Alligator mississippiensis: one gene and its partner. The protein of the gene in region 2 binds, or shares a complex with, the protein of the main gene of each other region. Links are inferred from orthologs where the notes say so. Each region holds a gene or a part of one and is shown on either strand. Other genes may lie near its edges. The genes, in order: CFP and CFB.

Region 1 (10,902 bases), on a different chromosome or scaffold from region 2:
CTCCAGTCGGACCAGGCCCCCGGCACTGGGGAGGAGGGCGGGGTTAGCGTGGGCCGAGGTACCCGGCCCCATCTCCCCCAGCCTCAAGCCCACCCCACTCTGGGCCCATCTATCCCGGCCTCAGTCCTGCTGCCCCCAGACCCATCTCCTGCCCCAACCCCTAGCTCCCCACGCTGGCTTCAAGCCTCCTGCCCCACCAGGCCCATCTCCCCGAGCCTCAGGCCCAGTTCCTCCCTGGGACCATCGACCCTGGGTTCAGGCCTCGTCCCCACTCCCAGCTCACAGCTGCAGAGCTGCATATTGTAGCAGAAGCGGATCTCCTGGGTAGTGGAGCCCGGGCAGCGCTGCCCATTGTGTGCACGCCCCTCGCACACTCGAGTGCGCTTCTGCTGCCCTATGATCTCCTGGCAGTTGATGCGGCTTGTGAAGCCCGGGCGGGAGCACCGTGTCCAAGCTGACCATTCTGACCAGTGCCCATCCACTGCAGGTGGCATAGGGTTAATGGGGGCTGGGGTGGGGGGGAGGGACCCCCCCATTGCCCCTCTGGGCAGGCAGTGAGGAGTTAATGGGGGCAGAGGGGGCTTCCCCACACACATACCCCCACCCTCTGCTGTGGGCCCAATGGGTGTTCAGTAAGGGCAGCCCCACATTCAGCACCTGAGGAGTTAATTTGGTGCCCCCCCCAATACAGAACCCAGGTGTCCAGGTTCCTTCCCTTCCCCCAGGCATTTAAGGAACACCCACAGGAAATCCACATATCCAGGGCGCGCGCACACAGCCCAGTTGTCCCAGTCTCACACACGACCAAGGTGTCTGGGTCTCTCATGCACATATGTAGAACCCAGACATCCAGGGAACATACACACCGGGTCTCTCAGGCTCACGTATGGACCAGCCCACATGTGGTACCTGGACAGGGCTGGTGTGTGTTGCAGATGTTTGTCTGTGTATTGGGGCCAGAGCAAGGGGTCCCGCCATGCTGGGGTGCAGGGCTGTCACATGCCCGGCGTTGTGTCACCTTCCCCAGCCCGCAGGTCACGGGGCATGGGGCAGCTGCTGTCCATGCACCCCACGCACCATCCACTGTGGAGACATAGGCATCACATGCTGCCCCCACCCAGAGTCTGCTGCATCCTGGCCTCTCTGCGGGCTGTTATATATGACTGTTGTACCTCAGAGCTGGGCACCTCCCAGGCCTCCCCATGCAGCATTATACTCAGCCATTCCCTGACTCTTCCACCTCAGAGCTGGCTGCATCTCAGCCCTGCCTGGGTAGTTACACTTCGCCATTCCACCTCAGAGCTGGTCAACTTCCAGCCTCCCCCAGTAGTGTTCTATTCAGTAATTGCCCTGAGCTGGGGGCACCATACCTGGGCAGAAGGGCAGGTTGGTGCAGGACTGGTCCTGGGTGCTGGGGCCAGGGCAGGCCTGGCCAGGGGGGTCCTGGGAGGGTGCAGGGCTGTTGCACAGGCGCTGGCGGTGCTGACTGGGCCGTGGGCCAGGGCCGTCAGGGGCACACGTGGTGGAACAGGGGCCCCACGGCCCCCAGGGGCCCCATGATCCATGTGCTGGGGGGTAAGAGAGGTCAGGGGAGAGGGGGCAGCCCCACATGCCCCAAACCTGGTCCCAGCCCCCAACACATCCCCCCATCCATCCATTCATAGGTCTATCCATCCCTCCAATCCCCCATCTATCCCTCTATCCCCAGCTCCCAGCACAAAGGTCACTCACTGGGGCAGGGCCGGGGGTCACGGCAGGGGCGGCTCTCGCTGGATGACCCAGGAGGGCAGACGCCGCCACAGGCTGGTGGGGGCTCCGTACAGGTCCGGGTGCGGCGCTGCTCCCCACTCTCACACGTCACCGAGCAGGGGCCCCATGGCGACCATGGTGACCAACCCCCCACCACTGCCCATGACTGGGGGTCAGCGCTGGTGCACAGACCCCTGAGACCACCCTCACAAGGCGCCCATCCCCATAGATCCCCCAGACCCTCCCAGCCCTGAGACCCCCACAAAAGCCCCCAACAGACCCTACACAGATACCCTGACCCCACAGAAACCCCCACCCTCTCCCAGCTTTGAACCCCCCCACCAGACCCCCATTACCCCCCACACTATGGACCCTCCCCATGGCCCTCCATCCCCAGTGACCACCTTCATAGATCCCTCCAACCTCCCACCCCCTTACACCTTTAAGACTCTCCCACCCCCCAGACAACCCACAAGGACACCCCAACCCCTCCCAAACTCCCCCTAGTGCCCCCCACAGTCCCCCACCCCTGCAGATGTCCCAGCCCCTCCCACCACGACACCACCCCCACAGACCCCCCCCCAGCCCTGAGACCCTCCCACAGGGCCCCCTATGGCCCCTCCCCATTCCCATGGGCCTCCTCCCACACTCCCTCCCACCTCCAAACATCCCCCTCAAAAATGTTCCCAGATCCCCTATGGCCCCTGCTCCAAGCCCTGAGGCCCCCCCATGGACCTCCCACAGCCCCAATCCTGCCATGGTCTCCCCTACTCCACAGCCATGACAATCTCCGGGATGACCCTCCCCAGACTCCCTCACCACATCCTAGCCCTGAGACTGCCCTGGACCCCCACCCACTCCCATGGACCCCCACAGCCCCCCCCCCCATGTTCTCCCACAGTCTTGCAAAGCCCTGAGACACAGCCCCTGACTGGCCCCCTCCACCTCCACAGATGCCCTCAGCCCTGAGACTCCCCATGGACCCCTCAGCCCTCTAAGACCCTCCCAGCCACTCCCTGCCCAGACACCCACTTCCACTCCCTCTGCCCCACTCCCCAGTGATTTAGGGGCAGCAAGGGGGGGGCTGTAGGGGTGCTATGGGGAGGTCCTATATGGGGTGTATACAGTTACCGGGGCAGCAGTTACTGGAGAGGTGCTATATGGGGTGCCAGGGTTGGGAGTGCCATGCTAGGTGCACAGAATTCCTGGGGCAGCAGGGGCTGGGGGTGCTCTAGGGTGTGCAGGTATGTGGGGTGCTATAGGGGTGCTACAGGGTGTGGTACAGAGGGTGCTATAGGGGGTGTTACAGAGACTTACAGGGGGTGCTACAGGGGTGTAAGTAGGGGGGAGCTATAAGGGGTGCAGGTAGGGGGGTGCTGTAGGAGTGCTATAATGAGAGGGGATACTATGGGGTGTTACGTGGTGCTATAGGTGTGAAGGTAGGGGAGTGTTACAGGGGGTGCAGGTGGCGGGGGCTATAGAGGTTCTACAGGGAGTGAAAGTACGGGGTGATATAGGGGGTACCATGTGGGATGCAGAAACTCACCAGGGCAGCAGGGGCTGGGGGTGCAGGCCTGGACCTCACGCTGGCGCCGCAGCCCTCTGGCACAGCCCTCCCGGCCTTGGCACATGCGCTGGCGGCGTTGGGCCCCTTCCCCACATGATACTGAGCAGGCACCCCATGGTGACCAGGCCCCCCACACAGCTGGCCTGCGGGCACCACACTCCCCTCAGGGGGGTTTAGGGCCCTCAGGACAGGGGGCCTCCCCCTGGGGTCTCAAAGGGGTGGAGGCCCTTCGGGGGGGGGAGCACAGGGTGGGGCAAGCTCTGGGTGGGGTGTCTTGGGGGAAGGATCTCATGGGGGATCAAGGGCCCCTGGGGGGGTTGGGGAGATCCCTCAGGGGGTTCCAGGCTGGAAAGGGCTCTGGGAGGGTCTAGGGCCACAGGGATGGCTCTGTGTGGGGTGTTTCTGGTGTCCTGGGGGGGTCCCTCAGGGTGTAACATAGGAGGAGCTGTGGGGGTTCTCAAGGGCATGGGGCTCAGGGGGAGGCATAGGGATGGGGGTCTCTCAGAAAAGCATCTTGTGGGAGTCCAGGGGGGACTCCAAGGGGGGATCTGGGGGTCCTGTATGGGGGGATCCTGTGAGGGTCACTTTGGAGGGAACTTGGGGATTGGGTTCCCTCAGGGGGGAGTCTTGAGGGCTCTGGGGCTGGGAGACTTACGTGGGGGGGCCCTCAAGGATGGGTTCTGTAGGGGGCCTCAGGGGGAATACCGGGGGGGGAGGGGGCTCTGGGGTCAGGGGTATCTCTCAGGGGGGTCCAGGACCAGAGGTCTCTTGGGGTCTCAAGGTAGCTTTTGGGGGTCTCAGGGGTGAGGGGGTCCTTTGTGGAGTCCCAACAAAGGACCCCCTCAAAGCTCTGGTGGTGAGGGTTCCTGGCAGGGGAGGGGTCACTAACCCGCAGGCCTGGCAGGGTGCGTCAGGCTGGGTCCGGTAGCCAAAGTGTGGGTTGAGGCAGCAGTCGACCTCAGCCACCCCCTCGCCCAGTAGGTCTCGGCAGGCACCATCCGCAAAGTCTACATAGCACCGCCCGATCTGTGCACCTGAGGGAACACAGTTGGCGGGGGTGAAGAGAGAGAGGCATGGGACCCAGGTTCCCTGGGGGGGGGGGGGGCAGAGTGGGGAGGCACATGGGAAACCCAGGTGTCCAGGTGGGCCACTGACATGCAGGGAACCCAGGTGTCTGGGGGGTAGTGGACATACAGGAAAACCAAGCCTCCAGGTGGGCTGTGAGCACACTGAAAACCCAGGCATCTCGGGTAGGGCACAGGCATGCAGAGAACCCAGGTGTCTGGGGATGGGTGAAGGTGGGAGGGTGGTTAACAGACTCCCTGAGAACCAAGGTGGGGGGGGGGGGACGGGGGGACGGACGGACGACATAGACACAGAGAAGCCAGGCTTCAGGGGACAGAGAGACAGAGAACCCAGAAGTTGAAGGGATACAAAGAACCCCAGAGTCCAGGTGGACACAGGCACAGAGAACCCAGGTGTCCAGAGAACACAGAACCTAGGTGTCTGGAGGGACACACACACAAAACCCAGGCATCTGGGAGACACAGAAACAAAGAACCCAGGAACCAGGCAGGTACCTGCTGGGGGCAGCAGGCCCCAGGCCAAGCAGGCGGCTGTCAGGAGCAGGGGCATGGTCCATGGACCATCCATGGACCCAGATGGACAGACAACAGGCCAACGCTGCAGCTACACAGACAACTCCCAAGACAGCCTCTGAGCTGGTCAGGGGAGGAGGAGAAGGGCAATGTGCACCAGCCCCGCCCCACCCAGGACGTCGCCAAGAGCCTGACTCAGCATGATGTGGGAAACTGTTGGTCGAGCATGAAGGGCAACAGTGAAGGGCAGCATGGGGTGACGGGGAGGGCGGGGGTAAGAGGCACCATGGGGTGATGGGTGGGCTGCAGGTGAGGGGCACCACAAGGGGAAGCTGCAGGTTGGGAGTAAGGGGTATTGCAGGGTGGGTGCTATAGGTTGGGAGTGAAGCACCATTGTGGAGTGGGGGCTGTGCCTCAAGAGTGAGGGGCACCACAGAGAAGGCAGCAGGTCAGGAGTGAGGGGCACAATTAAGCGGGGGAATGAGGCTTGTGGGTCAGGGGTAAGGGTCACTGTAGGCCTGTGGAAGGGGCTGTAGGTTGGGAGTGCGAAGCACCATGGAGAGGAGCTGCAGGTCAGGAGTGAGGGGCACCACAGATCCAGTTTTGCTAGTCCCAGTGCCCAGGCTGGATAGGGGGTGGTGTGGGGTTGGTTTCAGGGCAGCCCCATGTCTGTCCCTGCCAGGCCCAGGAAGGAGAGGGAAGCAGGGATGATTTTCTTGGAAGGGCGAGGCCCCTGGTGGTCCCAAGGAGGAAAGAAAGAGCTGGGAGGGGGGGAAGGGAAGGGGGACAGGAACTGTGGGGGCAAGAGGGGGAGGGTGGGTGCAGAAATGAGGAAGTTGGTGACTTCCAAGGAAAAGAAACTTGATCTTGTGGTGCCAGCAGCCAAAGCGGGGGTGGGGAAGTGGGTGAACGGGTCTGACTGGGCCAGGCTGAGAGGCGCCAAGTGGGTGGGTGAGGGAGGGTGAACTGATGTGACTGGGCCAGGCTAGGGTCCAAACTGATGTGACTGGGCCAAGTTGGGAGTGGGCCAAACTGGCCTGACTGGACTGTGCCCTGCCTCCCTTTCTCCCCACAATGGGAGCAATATTAGGTGCAACAGATTTGAGTTTCCATAGCAACAGGACCAGGTCCAAGTTCAGTCTAGTTTAGTGTCCCCACTCAGACCCAAATCTGACCTGGGTGGGGGAGGGGGGGTTGCTGGGGGCTGAACTGGTCAGACTGGGTTGGACTGGGAGCCAAACTGGTCTGACTAGGCCAAGCTGAGAGGACCCCAACTGGTCTGACTGGGCTGTGCCTCCCTTGAACAGGAGCAATGGCAGGGGCATCAGGCTTGAGTTGTCATGGCACCAGGACCAGGCTTGAGTTCAGCCTAGTACCAGACCAGCTGGGCCCAAATCTGGCTGGGGGGATAGGGTTCCTGTGGCTGAGATGGGGTGGGGGCAAGGCCCAGGGGAGTTCCTCACTGACCCCCAGGCCAGGGGGGTTAAATGGTGTGGGGCCTGCCACCTAGTGACATGGGCACTTCTTGGAGGGGGTGGAGGGGGTCTCAAATCTATGTTCAAAGGCCCTGAGGACCCTGGTGTTCTAGGGGACCCCCTGCCCTCTCCCAGCATGAGATTCACTGCCCCCCCATGAAAAGGGAACAGTGAATGGGGGGTAAATTATGACTCAATCATGACCCACAGGCCCCCCTCCAGTGCCCCTCACTCCCAACCCACAGCCCTCCCAAAATCCCATGCAGCCCCTCATGCCTGACCCGAAGCCTGCCCCCATAGTCCCACGGAGCCCTGCTCTCAACTCTGTACTGTCCCTTACTCCAGTCCTGAAGCCCCCCCCATTCCCCTCAATCTTGACTTGCAGCCCCCCCAGTACCCCTCACGTCTGACCCACATCCCCTCCTACTGTCCTTTGTGTTTGACCCCCAGCCCTGCAGTGCCCCTCACTCCTGACCTACAACCCCTCCTCCCAACTCTGTGGTGCCCCTCACTCTGGACCTGCAGACCCCTCATAACTCCACTGTGACCCTCACTCCTGACCTGCACCCCCCACTTCCTGTGGTGCCCCTCACTTCCAACTGACAGCCCCCACCAGGGCCCCATCCCAGGGCTACCCCCAGCTGTAAGATTCCAGGTTGGGGGTTTCCCATTCCCAGGCCCTATGATATTACTTTGAGGCCTACAATGTCATTGACTCGCTCCTCCCCTAAATGGAGGCATCAGATTTCATCCCCTTAAAGGTTCCCCACACAGGGTCCTTCCTCAGCAGCTGCGCTGCAGACAATATAACCCAGGTCTCTGGGCTCCCAGAGCCCTGTTCCCATACCCCACAGCCCCCAACTCCCCTCCCAGAAAACCCAGGAGTATGGGCACCCAGTGCACCCTGCTCTAGGTTCCCCTTAGGCCCTTGGGAAGAGTAGAAAAAGCTGCCCCTAGATGGATGCCTGGGTTCAGCTGCCCATATCTGGAGCCGGGAGAGGGAGGAAGGGGAGGAGCCCTAGAGCTAGCTGGAGGGAGGGTTGGGCAGGGGCGGAGGAACTATATCCTCCCCAGCAGCCATGGGATCCCATGACAATCACGTCATGCCGGTTAACAGCAGAATTTCGTGCGTCTACCCCCCAACTCCCCCCCCCGGGCTGCATAGCAGCCATATCCTGCTAGCAACCCCTTGGAATTCTCCCTAGCAATATCAACCTTCTCTGGGGCAACCATGGAATTCCCCCTGGCAACCCCATCCTCCTCCCTGGCAACCATGTAGCCCCACCAGTCTCCACAGTAACAGCCTCTTTGTAGCAAGCATGGAGCCCACCATAGCAAATGGCCCATCCATGGTGTTCATGGCAACAACAGATTCCTCCCTAGCAACCTGGTGGCAGTGTTGACTGACTGTGCCCCCCTCCCTGGCTCTGTTCCAATGTTGCCACTGATTGCCCCCCAGACCTACTGCCCCCCCGCAGCTGCATTGATACCCTTCAGCCCCTCCCCCCACCCATGCCCACAAATCCACTAGGTTGGAGCTGCAGCCTAGTCTGTTGTCATGGCAATGGAAACCGAACTAGGCCCTGTGCCTGGGTCACACACCTGGTTAAGTGGATATGACACATTTCACATGTATGTTACAGGTCTTCTGCTTCATGACGCATGCAATGCTCTGTATCACACGTTTTACCTCATGGTTTCCATGGGTTGTCTGTCATGTTTTGATCCATTCTGTACACGTTCCATGTATGCTACTCATTATTCACCACGTGCTTCACCCTCCTGGGTTCTGCATGGTTTCTACACGTTTCTGGCAAATCGTTTCCATGTAGTGTGTGTGGCGTGACCTGGTTGTATATACATTACATGCCTTTCTTTACTCACTGTTCCCCATGTGGTTTCTGCTCACTGTTCACATGTGTGCTCCACAGAGAAGTGACATGTTTCTCATGCCCACACATGGGCTCCATGTGTTCTTCAGCTGGGCTCCAAGTGTGTTCTCCTCCCAGAGAACACATGATATCCCCATGGCTTGGCATATTTGCTCATGGCTTCCATGTGCTTCAGAATTTGTTGCAGTTGTCTGAGGAAGGGTCTTTTTAACACGTGGCAACATGCATTCACCTTCCAGCTTACATGCGTTTGACCCAAGCTTTCCACATGGCTTCATGTTCAACTCATGACACACACGTTAACCCATGGTTTATTCATGGCTTCCATGTCATACCCACAACTGACATGGGTTTTAACCACAACCCATGTGTTGAACCCATGTGTTACACACAGCTCACGCGTGTTTGACACGTTTTCCTCACAAATCACACACATTCCCCATGGTTTAACCATGGCTTACATGTTAAACCCACAATGGACATGGGTTTAACCCACAGTTTATACATGGCTTACATGTATACATGGCCTCACGGCTCACACACAATTTACACATCTTACTCAAGCTTCATGCCTACAGTTGACACACAGCTCAGGTGTGTGCGTCACCCATCCCTCACATGTGTTTGACATGTTTCCCAATTGATATACATTTTGCCCATAGTGTATACACAGATCATGTGTGTTTTACAACACAGTTTGCGTGTGTTTTACCCATGATTCACATGCATTGTACCCACAACTTATATATGGCTCACACATGTGATACCCCCACTTCACAAACATTTTCCTTACCCCTCACATGTCTGCCTCATGTTTTCCTCACAGTTGACAAAGCAGGTAGGCTCAAATGTATTTTACTCACACGTATCATGTCCATGATTGCTACACAGATCTTACCCGCACCTCACATGGGTGGGCCATGCAGTCCCCCTCCCCCCCCAGCTTACATGTCCATCACCCACGGGTCAGATGCACTTTACCATGCCCTGTCCGCAGCTGACACATAGTTCCCATGCAGGGAGAAAGCTCCCCTCCCATGCCTTACCCATGGTGCACGCCCTGGACTGTCTCAGCCCAGCACCACGCATGTATCCCCCCCCACCCTGCCCCTCCATTTCTCCTTGTGACTCTTGGGCACACATGTGACCCTTGGGAACACATATGAACCCCCCCCCCCCAAAGTGCTTGATGCATCAGAAAAGAAGAAACAAAGCCCCCATGGGGCAGTGCAAAGTTTCTTATGACTGAAAAATACCTTTCTCTGCTCCCCCCAACTTACCCTGGGGTAAGACACCCCCAGCCAGTGGCTGGGTTAATCCGGGCTAAGCTCCACCCCCCTTGTTAAAAAATAGATGGATATTATATCATATAAAAGCCCAAAAAAGTCAGGCAGCCAGCAGCTGCCTAAGGGGCTGGGTCTTCAAGGACCCCCACCCCACAATAAAAAGGACTCTGGGAACAGGCAGCAATAAATAAAGGGTTTCCAGCCCTTTCCCAGGACAGGTCTAGCACAGAAAGGAGACCGCGAAAGGGTGACAGAGCAACACACGTGCACCCCGGGTGACTCTGGGCTGAGAACACAGATTACAATCTCTCCACTCTACCCAAGACAGGTGTGGGGTCCTGAAGCCGGCAGGGCCACGGTGCCAGGAGGGGACGGAGGCTTTCAAAGCAAGGAGATTTTCCTCCTTAAAATGGAGAAGAAAAAGTAGTGGGACAGAAGAAAGAGGGGGAAAGCAGCAAGACCAGAAAAAAGAAATGCTGGGATTACTGACCTCAAGAGAAAGCAAAAGAAATTGAAGTCAAAGCCTGTCCCCATAAAGGGCCCAGGTGCCTTCTAAGTGAAAGGGAAAAGATCAAGCAACTTGGAGTGAGAAAAGGAGAGATAGCGGGAAGTTTCTCTTCAAAATGAGAAAACATAGCATATTGAAAAGGGAAGCTAAAGGCATCGGAGGCAGATTCGCAGCTGGCACAGGCACCCAGCAAAGAGCCTGAGGACAAGTAGTGGGGACCAAAAGACATCCCAAGAGCCATGTGAAGGTGGTGAAAGCGATTCCCAGAGAGGCTGGAAAAAGGCTGATGCTTTGGTTAGCCGCATCCCTGACCATTGCTGGAAAGGCAGAAGGAGCTCCTGGTCTGGTGAGAGCTGTGAAGAAAGTCTCAGCATGTCTGCCGGAGGAAAAGAAAAGCCTGAATGACACCTACCCAAGAGTTGTGAAAGTCAGCCAAGGCAAATTCTTCCCCACTAATCCTCATGTATTATAAATCTTGCAGTCTCAGGGCAATCCTGGGAGGCTGTAAGGGGGAAGGAGAAAAGGCAAGACTTCCTCTTTTGTGAGGGCAGGACTTCCTCATTTGCCATTTCTGTGGTGACAGAAAGCATTGCCCTAAACCGCAGGCAGGGGACAATGTGGGGGAAACAAAGCAAGGCTTCCTCTTTCACCATTACCACAGCAATGAAGCAAGTGGGAAGCACGAGAGTCCTTGAGGCAGGACTTCTGCCTCAGCTGTTTCTCCAGTAACAGACAGGAAGCCAGTAACAGGGACCCAAGCTCTAAAAGGTGCCAGGAGGCAAGAGGTGGGGCTGGAGGGGGCAGGATTTCCTGGTGGGCCATCTCCA
Region 2 (10,855 bases):
CGACGGGCACTGGAGATCCCCCCATATTCGTTTTGCCTGGTGGGAGGCAAAGGGGGGACTCCAGCTGGACTGGGGGGGGGGCCCTGATGCTGGTTTGGGGAGACGGGGAGGTCTGCTGCGGAGCCCGTGGGTGGGGTAGGGGTGTCAGGGGTGTCTGAGGGGAGTTAGAAGGTCTGGGGGGAAGTCAGGGGAGGCTTGGGGGATCCAGAAGGTGTCCATGGGGTATGGCAGGGTCCAGGAGTTATTGGGGCAAGAGAGAGTTTGACAGTCCAGGGGAGGTCCAGGGGGATCTGGGGTATAAGGGAGACCCAAGGGTTATTGTGGGGATCAGGGGGGCTAGGTTATGGAGGGGATCCAAGGGGTACTGGGGTTGGGGGGGGTCCAGGGAGTGCCAAGGGAGATGGGGTGCCTGTTGGGTCTCGGGGATAGTGGAGAGGTCTGGAAGGTGTCAGGGGGCACAGGATGGGTCTGGAGAGGTTCAGGGGCTGTCACTGAGGTCTCAGGGTGCCAGAGGGCCCAAGGAGGCTCTAGAGAGTCCAGGGGGTGATCGGTGGGTCCCAGGGGTCTGGCCCCACTCACCATCGGTCATGATGATCAGGACGTGGCGGGTGGAGTTGACAACAGGGGCTGGGGCGGGGCCATGCCGCAGCTGCTCCTCCTCCTGCTGCACCAGCATGTGGTAGACGGCCTCCAGTGCTGCCCGAGTGTTGGTGCCTGCCTTGTACGCATGGTCTGGGGGGCAATAAGGGGTCAGGGCCTCGCCTGGGTGGTCACAGACCCCCTCTCTGTCTCCCCTGGGGGCTGAGTGGGGCAGGAACAGGGGGTGGGAGGGGCCAGGGGGCAGATCTGGCTGGGTGCAGTCCCACCCTCCACCTTCAGGTGGCCCCATAGCACCACACAGAGGTGTAGGCACTAGGGACACTCTGGTCTCTCTTCTCCTGGCTGCTCTATGGTCTTCCCTTTTTTCCAGTCTTGTCCCCCAGCCCCTTTTTGACCCCAGCTCTTGCACCCCACCCCCTTCCATCCTCAGCTCTTGTCCCTGCCCCAGCCCTGGTTCTTGCACCACTACTCCCTCCAGCCCCAGCTCCTGCTCCCGTCTCTGCCCTGCCTCTGCCCCTCTCCCCCATGCCAGCCTGGGATTTCCACACCCCTGCTCACCCTTGTATTTGAGGCCCTCAAGCTGCTCACGCACCCAGTTAGCATCGGCACTGCGGGCGTCCTGGGTGCTGATAACCACGTGGGGCTCGCTGGCAAAGGTGATGAGGCTGTAGTGTGGGAACACCCCGTAGCTGGAGACCTGGGGGGGCATGGCATCAGGGAGGGCAGTGGTGGGGGAAGGGCAGATACTGGGTTGGGGGAGGCACAGCATGGCTTTGAGGTGCCATGGGTGGAAGGGGAGGACATATTTGGGGGATCCTGGGGTGCTCCCAGCAAGTCAGGGGGGCCCACCTTCTCGACAAGCTGGCTGAGAGCGTCGCGGGAGCGGGTGAAGTTGTCGGTGCCGATGCTGTCAGAGGCATCGAGCAGCAGGTAAATGTTCATGGTGCCACCTGGCTCAATGCGGATGCGCCGCTTCTGGCTGTCACCTGCAGTCAAGGGTCAGAAGGCAGGTGGCTACCCCCCACAAACCTGGAGAGCCTCAGCCTGGCACCCAGACCCTTCCTAGAGACCCGTGGTTCCCCGCTATCCTGACCCCACCCCCCACAATGCAGCCCTGCCCCCAACCACCCCTGGCCCTCCCTCACCCCCTACACCCTTAAAATTACCCCCCTCCCTCCAGCCCTGCCCCCCCAAACCAGTCCCTTCTCCCCCAAACTGACTGAGGGAGGTGTTGGCCTCGGCCTTCTCCACGGTCTCGGACAGGGAGGCCAGGAAGGCGGCAGCCACGTCACGGGGTGTGTCATAGGCGTACGGCGCTAGGGGTCACAGTGTGAGGGGGGTAGTCAGCATGGCCCCTCCCAGCCCTGCCCCCACCTCTGGGATCCCCCCCGGCCTCCTGCCTTTGGGGAGATCTCCCAGCCCACCCCAGGTACAGTGCCAAAGGGGGGGTCCCCTCACCCCCCCAGGTGTTGATGGTGGCAGAGGAGACCCCCTGCCTCCCCAGGGACTCAGGGTCTCTCTAGGCCCCCCCAAGACCCCTCCAGTGCCTCCCCAGATCACCTGAGTGCTCACACCCCCCCATTCACCCCAGCCCCTCCAGGACCACCCCCCAGTGACCTCAGACCCCACCACTGAATGCTCCCAGCCCCCACAGTGACCCCAGACTCCCCAAAACCCCCTGAGGTCCCTCAAAGTCCCCCAGACCCTCTGTGACCTCAGATTCTCCCCCAAACCCCCCAGCCCCCTTAAGACCCCACAGACCCTCCCCAAATCCACTGGGGTCCCCCCAGATCCTCCTGGTGATCCTATCACCCCCCAGTCTCCCCAAGACCCCCTTAGACCCTCCCCAAATCCCCCAAGACCCCCTCAACCTCCCCTCTGGTGACCCCCAGAACCCCTCTAGCCCCTCCCAGCCCCCCAGCACTCACTGCGGCAGAGGGGGGGTGTCCCACTCCAGGTGCGGTCCTCTAGGCAGGTGCGATGTGCGGAGCCAAGTAGGGTCAGGCCAGACCGGCACCGGTACTGCACCTCGTCCTCAGCCCGCAAGCCCCCGCCCGATACAGTGGCCCCCACTGGAACCCCCAGCGCTGGACAGTGGCCCCCTGGGGGGACAGGGCACAGGTCAGAGGTCAAGGGTCAGAGGTGCATCCAGTTTCCCCCCTGGCCTCCCACCCAGCTCTCCATCTGTTCACGCCCCGCCCGCCATGTCTGTTCCTCTGGCGCCAGGGTCTGTCTGTCCATCCAGGGTGGATGTCTTCCCATTTGTCTGGGACTCGTGGCTGGCTGTCTGCCTGCCTGGGACCACTGTCTGGGGCCAAGGTCCATCTGTCCTTCTGTCTGTCTGACTGGGGCTATCTATCCGTCTGTCTGTCTAGGGCTGGGGTCTGTCCATCCATCTGTCTGTCTGTGGCCTGGTGTCTGCTGGTCCGTGTGGCTACGGCCAGTGCCTGCTTGTGCAAGGCAGGGTGTCTGTCTGGGCTGGCAGGTGCCCCTGCCCCATCCCCCCACCCCCCCGACTCACCGCCATCATCACAGACGGCAGGGGTGCCGCTCCAGGTGCCCTGGGGCAGGCAGGTGCGGACACCAGAGCCACTCAGGGTGAAGCCGTCAAAGCAGGAGAAGGTCAGCTCCTGGCTCATGTTGTACCAGGCCTGGCGTGGCCACCACGTGCCATGCAGGAACTCCACCGGTCCCGGGCACCGAACCACTGTGAGGCAGGGGTTAGGGGCAGCTGGGACTCCTGATCCCCCCAGGACCCCGCCCAGCCTCTCTGCAGGGTCCCTTCAACCTCAGGACCCCCCAGCCCCTCCACAGGACCCCCACACCCCTGAGATCCTCCCGACCCCCCAGTCTTTCTGGCTGGCCCTGCATCCCCGTCCTCCAGTCTCCCCCCGACAGACCCTTCCCAATGCCCCCAGCCTCCCCAGTGATCCCAGAGACTCCCCCCAGACACCCTTAGACCCTCCTCAAATCCCCCACAGCACCCCCTGAAACTCCCCTAAAATCCCCCAGGATCCCCCCTTGCTGATCTCAGCCCCCCCCTTAAACCCACCTAAATCCCTGAGGACCCCCAGCTCCTCCCAGTGACACCCTCAGAGCCCCCCCAACCCCTCCAGCCCTCCCAGTGACTCCAGACCCCCTGAGACCCTCCAAAATCCCCCAGACCCTCTCAGGAAACCCAGACTCTCCCCAATTCCCACAAAACCTCTCTGCCTCCTCCAGTCCCCGCAGCTCTCCCTGGTGACTCTAACCCCGCCAGACCATCCCAATGACCCCCTGAGACTCCCCCTAAATCCCTAAGGACTTCCCAGCTCCTCTCAGTGACCTCTTCAGCCCCACTGGTGACCTCAGACCCCCCAAGACAGACTCCACCCCACCAAATCACCCCAGCCCTGCCTCCAGGTCCCACCCAGACCCACCTCGGCACTCAGCCTTGGCCACAACCCGGTTCTGGGTGTCCCGTAGAGGGCTCCACATGCCGTTGCTGCGGCAGGCGCGCAGGGCTACGGGGTGCGGGTACTTCCCCTCTGGGCATATGTAGCGCAGCCATCGGCCCCTATCTGCCACCTCCGCCTGGCCCCCCAGGATCGGGGCCCCCTCCGGGTCGCAGCTGCCCTCCGCTGCAACTGCCGCCCCTGGGGGACACAGCATGGCCAGGGTCATGTGGGCCTGATCCTGGAGGGTTGGTGGGAACTCGATCCTAGGCCACCTGCTGGTTAGGGGCCCCGATCCTGGGGGCAGGGGGCCTGGTCCGGGGGGGCAGGGGGTCCTCATATGGCCTGATCCTGAGGCAGAGGGCCTGATTCTGGGGGAGGCGCTGAGGGGGTCCTGATCCTAGGGACAGGCAGGAACAATCCTGAGAGGGGCTGGGGGTGCTGATCCAGGCCTGATTGTGAAGGTCTGGGGGCCCCGATATGGGTCTGATCCTGGGGGTAGTGGGTCCCAACCCTGGGGAGGGCTAGGGGTCCCAATCTGGGTCCAGTCCTAGGGGGTAGGGGTCCCGATGTGGGTCTGATCCTGGAGGCAGGATCCTGGGAGGGGGCTGAAGGTCTCAATCTAAGCCTAATCTGGGCCTGATCCTGAGCATGAGGGCTGGGGGGCCTGATCCTGTGGCTTGGGGGAGGCATTGTTCCACTTGGCTTTTGCCCCACCCCAGACCTGGTCGCATTGTGAGGCCCAGGAAGGACATTGTCGGGGTGGGGGTGGAAGGATCCAGACCCTACTGAGGGTCCCAATCCAGGCCTGATCCTGAGGGTTGTGAGTGTGTGTGTGTGGGGGGGGGGTTGTTCCACTTGGCCCTCTCCACCCACCCCAGCATTGGTCGCATGCCCAGCACCCAGGGAAGCCCATGGCAAGGTTGGGGGTAGGGAGAGGTCCCGATCCAGCCCGATCTGTGAGGCAGGTGGGGGCCACCCACCGGAGCCAGCCGGGACCAGGAGCAGGAGGCAGGCCAAGATCCGGATCAGTGCCCTCGGGCCCATGTCTGTCCGTTTGTCCGTCCTCTTCCTCCGCAGCTCTCTCGTCTGTCCGGCTGGGTTGGGGCTGGGGAGGGAAGCCTGGAGGGGGGGCAGCCCTGCTCTTGCGTCACCCCCCCTTCTGGGAAATAGCTCTGGGGAGGACAGGGGGGATTCCCCGCAGGGTGTGGGGAGGGGATCTTGCAGAGGAAGGGGCGGGGGGGATGCAGAGAGAACCCAGGCATCGGGACAGAGGGGAGGGTCACCCCAGGGAGGGGGGGAAGCAGGTGAGTTCTGGGAAGAAGAGACAGGGGGGAGGCAAAGGGTGCGGCCCAACCCCCCCGCAACCCCTCCATTGGTTGCTACTTCCCTGTTGCCCCGGCCAACACCTGCATTCCCTGGAACAGGGTGTGGAGCGAACCCAGGTGTCCAGGCACCCTGCCCAGGACCCAGACCCCCTGCCAAAGAACCCTCCCCCTGACACGCAGCCCACGGGGTCTGAAGTTCAGACTGTGTTTGTCTGGTGGAGGTCGTAAACCCTGCACCTGGGGCACTGTCAGGGGGAAGCTCGCTGCCTAGGGGCACTATCAGGGACAAGGTCCCTGCCTCAGGGCACTGCCAGAGGGAAGCTCGCCACCTCAGGACACTGTCGGGGGGAAGTGAATAGCCTTAGGCCACTGTCAGGGAAAAGCTCCCCACCTTGGGGCACTGTTGCGAAGGGAAGTTCACCACCTCAAGGCACTGTTACAGGGAAGCTCACTGCCTCGGGGTACTGTTACAGGGAAGCTCGCTGCCTCGGGGCACCTGTCGGGGGAAGCTCAAAGCCTCAGGGCACTGTTACAGGAAGCTAGCAGCCTCAGGGCACTGTCAGGGAAAAGCTCGCAGCATGAGCACAGGCCAACAACCACAATGAAGTTCTGTCTTGACACCAGGACTTTATTGTTCCATCAGCAGCACGGGATGCTGGGAAGGGACTGAGCGCAAAGGACTGTGGGCCATTGGAGCAGAGCACAGGATGCTGGGTCGGGCCCTGGGATTTTGGGGAGAGATATGCTGGCCAGGCCACGGCTGTGTCTGGAGCAAGGCATTCTGGGATGTCAGGGGTGAGGGCCCCACACTCTAGGGCATGCTGGGATGTTGGGGGTCTCTACAGCAGGGCATGCTGGGATGGTGGCAGTGGGGGCCCGTGCCCTGGCCCATGAAGGGATGTCAGGGGTCTCTACAGCACAATATGCTGGGAGTCTCTGGGATGGCGTTGATGGGGGGCACCCACTCCGGGGCATGCTGGGCAGCGGGAAGTCTTCTCAGCAGGCCATGCTGGGATGGCAGCGATGGGGGCCATTCCCCGGGGCATGCTGGGATGGTGGAGGTCAGGGGCGAGGGGTCAGGCCGGGGGCAGGAAGTGGAGGGCGGGGCTGAGGTGCTCCCGCAGCCAATCCTGGGTCTGGAAGAGGCTGAGGTAGAAGTCGCGGGGATGGTGCCTGTGGGGCGGTGGCTTCCTCTGCATCCGCCCCTGGTTGTCAGGGCGACTCTGGGCACACGGGTTGTAGGTGCCCCAGCTGACCACGCCCACCTGCAGGACCAGGCGGGGGCAGGGTGAGGGACCCAGGCATTGACCTCTCCCCCTCCCCGCCCAGGGGACCCAGGAGTCCGGGCCAGTGCGGGGGCTGCACCCACCTGGAAATACCTCATCTTCTTCTCCACGAACAAGGACCCGCCGGACTCACCTGCGGGGAGGGGAAATTGAGGCCTGGGGGGGGGCCAAGAGGCCCTGCCCCTATGGGCCAGGGGGCAGGGCCTAGTGCCCTCCCCCCCAGCCCCACCCCCACTGGTGCCACTATCCCAGCATGCCTTGCTCAGGGACTCCCACCTTCCCAGCATGCCTCATTCTGGCCCATGCCCTGCTCCGCTTCCCAGTATGTTCCTCCCTTCCCCCTGCCCCGCCTCTTCCTAGCATGCCCTGCTGACCCTTGCAGGTGGAGGCCTCAGGCTCGCCGGTGCTCTCAGGGCCGGAGCAGAGAAAGCGCTGCGTGACCACATCCGATACGTTTGCCTTGCCTGCATATAGCGTCCCTGGCTGCACTGCTCCCTCTGTGCAGCGTGCCCACTGTGGGGGGACAGGGGTGAGCACCCGTGTGCCAGAGTGCCCTTCTGCCTGCACACCTAAGTCCCCTTTGCCCAGATACTGAGGTTCCCCTCCATCAAAGGGGCTGTGGGAGCCCAGATGCCTGGGTTTCCCCCACCTGCCTGGACGCCAGGGTTCCCAGATGCCTGGGTTTCCCCTGACCCGGCTGCCTGGGTTCCCTCCAGCAAGGGGGCTGTGAGAGCCCGGATGCTTGGGTTCTCCCCTTGCTCTGATGCCTCAGTTTCAACCTGCCTGGACACCAGAGTTGCCACCCACCCGGACACCAGGGTTCACTCTAGCGAGGGAGCTGTAGGAGCCTGGGTGCCTGGGTCCCACCCCACCCAGATGCTGGAACTGCTCCCGCTCAAGACACCTAGGTCCCTCCCCTCCCAGATGCCTGGGTCGCTCACCATCTCATTGGTCTTGATGTGCACGCTCAGGCGCTCATTGTCCAGAGAGATGAACTGGGCCGGGACCCGTGCCTGCCTCAGCAGTTCTACCTCTGCCGGATGGACGGACGGAGAGATGGAAATGTCAGGACCCCGCGACGGACCCCCACCCCATGCCAGAGGTGAGACATGGGGATGCCCAGGAGAGCCCGGACACCTGGGTTCTCTGCACAGGGTTGGGGCTGGGGGATAGGAGTGGAAGGAGCTTGGGAGCCTGGATGCCCGGGATGGGGATGGGGTCTGGAAGCAGCGGGGTGGGCGCCTGGACGCCTGGGTTCTCTGCACCCACCGTGGTCCTTGCAGGTCGCCCTCACTGGTTTCCTCAGGGCTCGGTTCGCCTCCTTGGTGCAGGGCAGGCAGATCGGCCTGGGGGGTGGGGCTCATACTTATGGCCATGCCCCATCTTCAAGCCACACCCACAGTCTCTAAGCCAACCCTTACCTCTATGCCCTGCACTAAGCCCCACCCCTCACTTTCTATGCCCCGCCCACACTCTATGTCCAAACCCCATTCTCTAAGCCCCACCCCTTCATATGCCCCCCACACCTGATGGTGGCGGAAAAGTGCACGGGTCTCTCCAGCTGCAGCAGGGAGAGGTCATAGTCATAGAACTCAGGGATGCCTTGGTCCACCTTGGCCCGGACGTTGTACTGCGGGTGGTCGAAGCGCTGCGCAATTTGGATATCCTTGGAACCTGTCGCGGCCCCCAGGTCAGGATTGAGCCCACCCCGGCCAGGATTGGGGCCCATCATGGATCAGTATTGGGCCCCCTCCGCCAAAATCAGGCCCCCACAGGTCAGGATCAGGACCCATCATGGGTCAGGATTGGGAACCCCCTCCCCAACAGCCAGGATCGGGCCCCCACAGGTCAGGGTTGGGCCTCTTGCAGCCAGGATCAGGCTCTCTGGTCAAGATTGGACCCCACAGCCAGGATCGGGGACTGTCGTGGGTCAGGATTGGGCTCCTCCCAACAGTCAAAGTTGGGCCCCCGCAGGTCAGGATTGGGCCCCCCACATCCAGGACTGGGGCCTCCCTGTCAGAATTGGACCCCAACACAGCCAGGATGGGGTCCCCAGGTCAGAATCAGGGCCCATCATGGGTCAGGATCAGGCTCCCCTACAGCCAGGACCCCCAAGTCAGGATCAGGGCCTCACAGGCAGGATCAGCCCACCCCCCAGTCAGAATTGGGACTTCCCAGCCAGGATGGGGCCCCAGCTAGGATTGGGCCCTCTCCAGGTCAGAATTGGGCCACTTCACAGTCCAGAATTGCCTCCCTCCCCATCCCCAACCTCCTGCAAGGGTCCTATCCTCCCACAGGTCAGGATTGCACCCCACCAGGATCAGGCCCATCATGAGTCAGCATCTGCCCCCCACCCCCAAGACAAGATTGAACTGGGTGTCCAGCGCCCACTCCCCCAGGCTCCCCGGCCTGATCCTGACCCATGATGGTCCCTGATCCTGACCTGTGGTGGCCTGATTGTCACTGTGGTGGGGCCTGATCCTGATCCGGGGGGGTTCCAGGGGACCTTTTTTCCCACTCCTACTGGACACTTGGGTTCCCTGGGTGGGGAGTGGAGACTGTGGGGAGGGAGAGAGTTGGGAGGCTCCCAGATGCCTGGGTCCCTTACCTATGTTGACCCTCCAGAGCTTGGTGTTCTGCACATTGTTGAAGCAGTGCGCAGCTGTCAGCACCCAGCGGTCGGCCACCAGTGACCCCCGGCATGACTCCCCCCGTTCTGGCTGCAGGGTCCAGGGGGTCCAGGTCAACCACCGTGGGGACCCTGGTGTCCAGGGCCTGTCCCCCACTTCCTGGAGAACCCAGGTGCCCAGGGAGCACTGGGTGTGAGACCCAGGAATCCGGGTGGCACTGGCCAGCCCTTAGGTAGGTGGGGGCTCTGGGATGGGGTAGGGGACCCAGGTGTCTGAACAGCACTGCCTCTGGGTAGGTAGGAGGACCTGGGACAGGGTAGGGAACCCAGACATCCAGGCTGGGGCCCATCTGAAGCCTTCAGGGGGCGGGGGGTAGGACATAGGGAACCCAGGCATCCGGGGTCCCCCTTACCCTAATGACCACGTGCCAGGGGTTCATCTGCTGGGCTGTGGCACCCTCTGAGTGGTTCCCGAGTCCACACACCTCCCCGATGCTCTTCACATCTGGAGAGAGAGGGGGTGGGGTCAGCTCCGACCCCTCTCCTCAGCCCCAGGAGGAGAAGGGGATCTGGGATCTGCCCCCCAGGGGGGGCAGTTCTATACCCAAGATGCTGTCCAGGGTAGTGCGGAGCTCCACAGGGCCATTGAGCTTGAAGGCATGTTGCTCCCCAATCTTCTTGGAGGCAATGGCGTTGAGGTCTTCCCACTCCACATCCGTCTGCCCCACTCCAAAGGCATAGATGTCTGAGAGACAGGGCAGGTGTTGGTGCACCTAGGCCCCACTAGGCCCAGGCACCATGGGAAGGGATGTTGGGAAAGGTGGGTTCCATGGCATGGGGGCATTTGGGAACTTGCTGAAGCTTGGGGTAGGCAGTGGGGCACCTGGGACTGGGGTTGTGGCACCTAGAACAAGGTTTGGGGCACCTACAATGGGGTTGGGGCAGCTAGAACTGGTGTGGATGTACCTAAAACCACAGTCAAGGTGGTAGGAACCAGCATTGAGGTACCTAGAACTGGGATTGGGGGCACCCAGAACCATGGTCAATGCACACTGAACTCATGTTGAGGCATTTAGCACACCTAGAACCAGGATTGGTAGACGTAGAATTGGGCTGGGGCACCTGGAAGTGGTTGTGGTACTTAGACCCAGGATTTGGGCACCTAGAATGGGTGTTGGGGCACGTAGAACTGGTGTCGATGTACTTAAAACCACAGTCAAGGTGTCCAGAATTAGGGTTGAAACACTTAGACCTGGGGTTGGGGCCCCCTTGAACTAGGATTGGAGCATCTATAATCACAGTTAAGACATACCTAATTAGTGTTGTGGTATCTGGAGCTGGGGTTGGGGCACCTTACCAAGGATGGGGCACCTAGGACTGGGATTGGGGGCATTTAAAACAGCAGTCAAGGCACCCATAACAAGTGTCAAGGTATCAAGGACCAGTATTGGGCCACCAAGAACAGTGGATGAAGCACCTGAGTTACTTCATCTAGAAGCATGGTCAAGGCACCCAGAACTAATATCTAAGTATCTAGGATTGCGGTTGGAGCAACTACAACAGCAACTGGGGCACCTA

Evidence for each region.
Region 1: the proteins of CFB (region 2) and CFP are in contact, whole or in part, in a crystal structure (PDB 7NOZ), measured with the Homo sapiens proteins. The link is inferred for Alligator mississippiensis from reciprocal best matches to the Homo sapiens genes CFB and CFP. Residues at the interface, in NP_001701.2 of Homo sapiens: Glu54, Gln56, Ser78, Thr316, Tyr317, Leu349, Ser351, Met394; in NP_001138724.1 of Homo sapiens: Arg329, Arg330, Asn331, Lys333, Pro341, Met420, Val421.

The regions. Positions count from the first base shown.
Region 1 is NC_081831.1:27,690,508-27,701,409, reverse strand, and holds the start of CFP (properdin), read right to left. Parts: upstream 5,082-10,902; 5' UTR 4,970-5,081; coding exon 4,897-4,969; intron 4,351-4,896; coding exon 4,206-4,350; intron 3,460-4,205; coding exon 3,296-3,459; intron 1,906-3,295; coding exon 1,732-1,905; intron 1,569-1,731; coding exon 1,371-1,568; intron 1,084-1,370; coding exon 910-1,083; intron 482-909; coding exon 284-481; intron 26-283; coding exon 1-25. UniProt on the Homo sapiens protein: A positive regulator of the alternate pathway (AP) of complement. It binds to and stabilizes the C3- and C5-convertase enzyme complexes. Inhibits CFI-CFH mediated degradation of Complement C3 beta chain (C3b).
Region 2 is NC_081834.1:62,562,754-62,573,608, forward strand, and holds the start of CFB (complement factor B), read right to left. Parts: upstream 5,342-10,855; 5' UTR 5,082-5,341; coding exon 5,018-5,081; intron 4,236-5,017; coding exon 4,020-4,235; intron 3,308-4,019; coding exon 3,122-3,307; intron 2,703-3,121; coding exon 2,529-2,702; intron 1,917-2,528; coding exon 1,821-1,916; intron 1,587-1,820; coding exon 1,450-1,586; intron 1,298-1,449; coding exon 1,159-1,297; intron 733-1,158; coding exon 580-732; intron 37-579; coding exon 1-36. Other genes in the region: complement C2, read right to left, coding at 6,439-6,627, 6,732-6,781, 7,023-7,161, 7,590-7,681, 7,918-7,994, 8,175-8,322, 9,257-9,368, 9,691-9,782 and 1 more.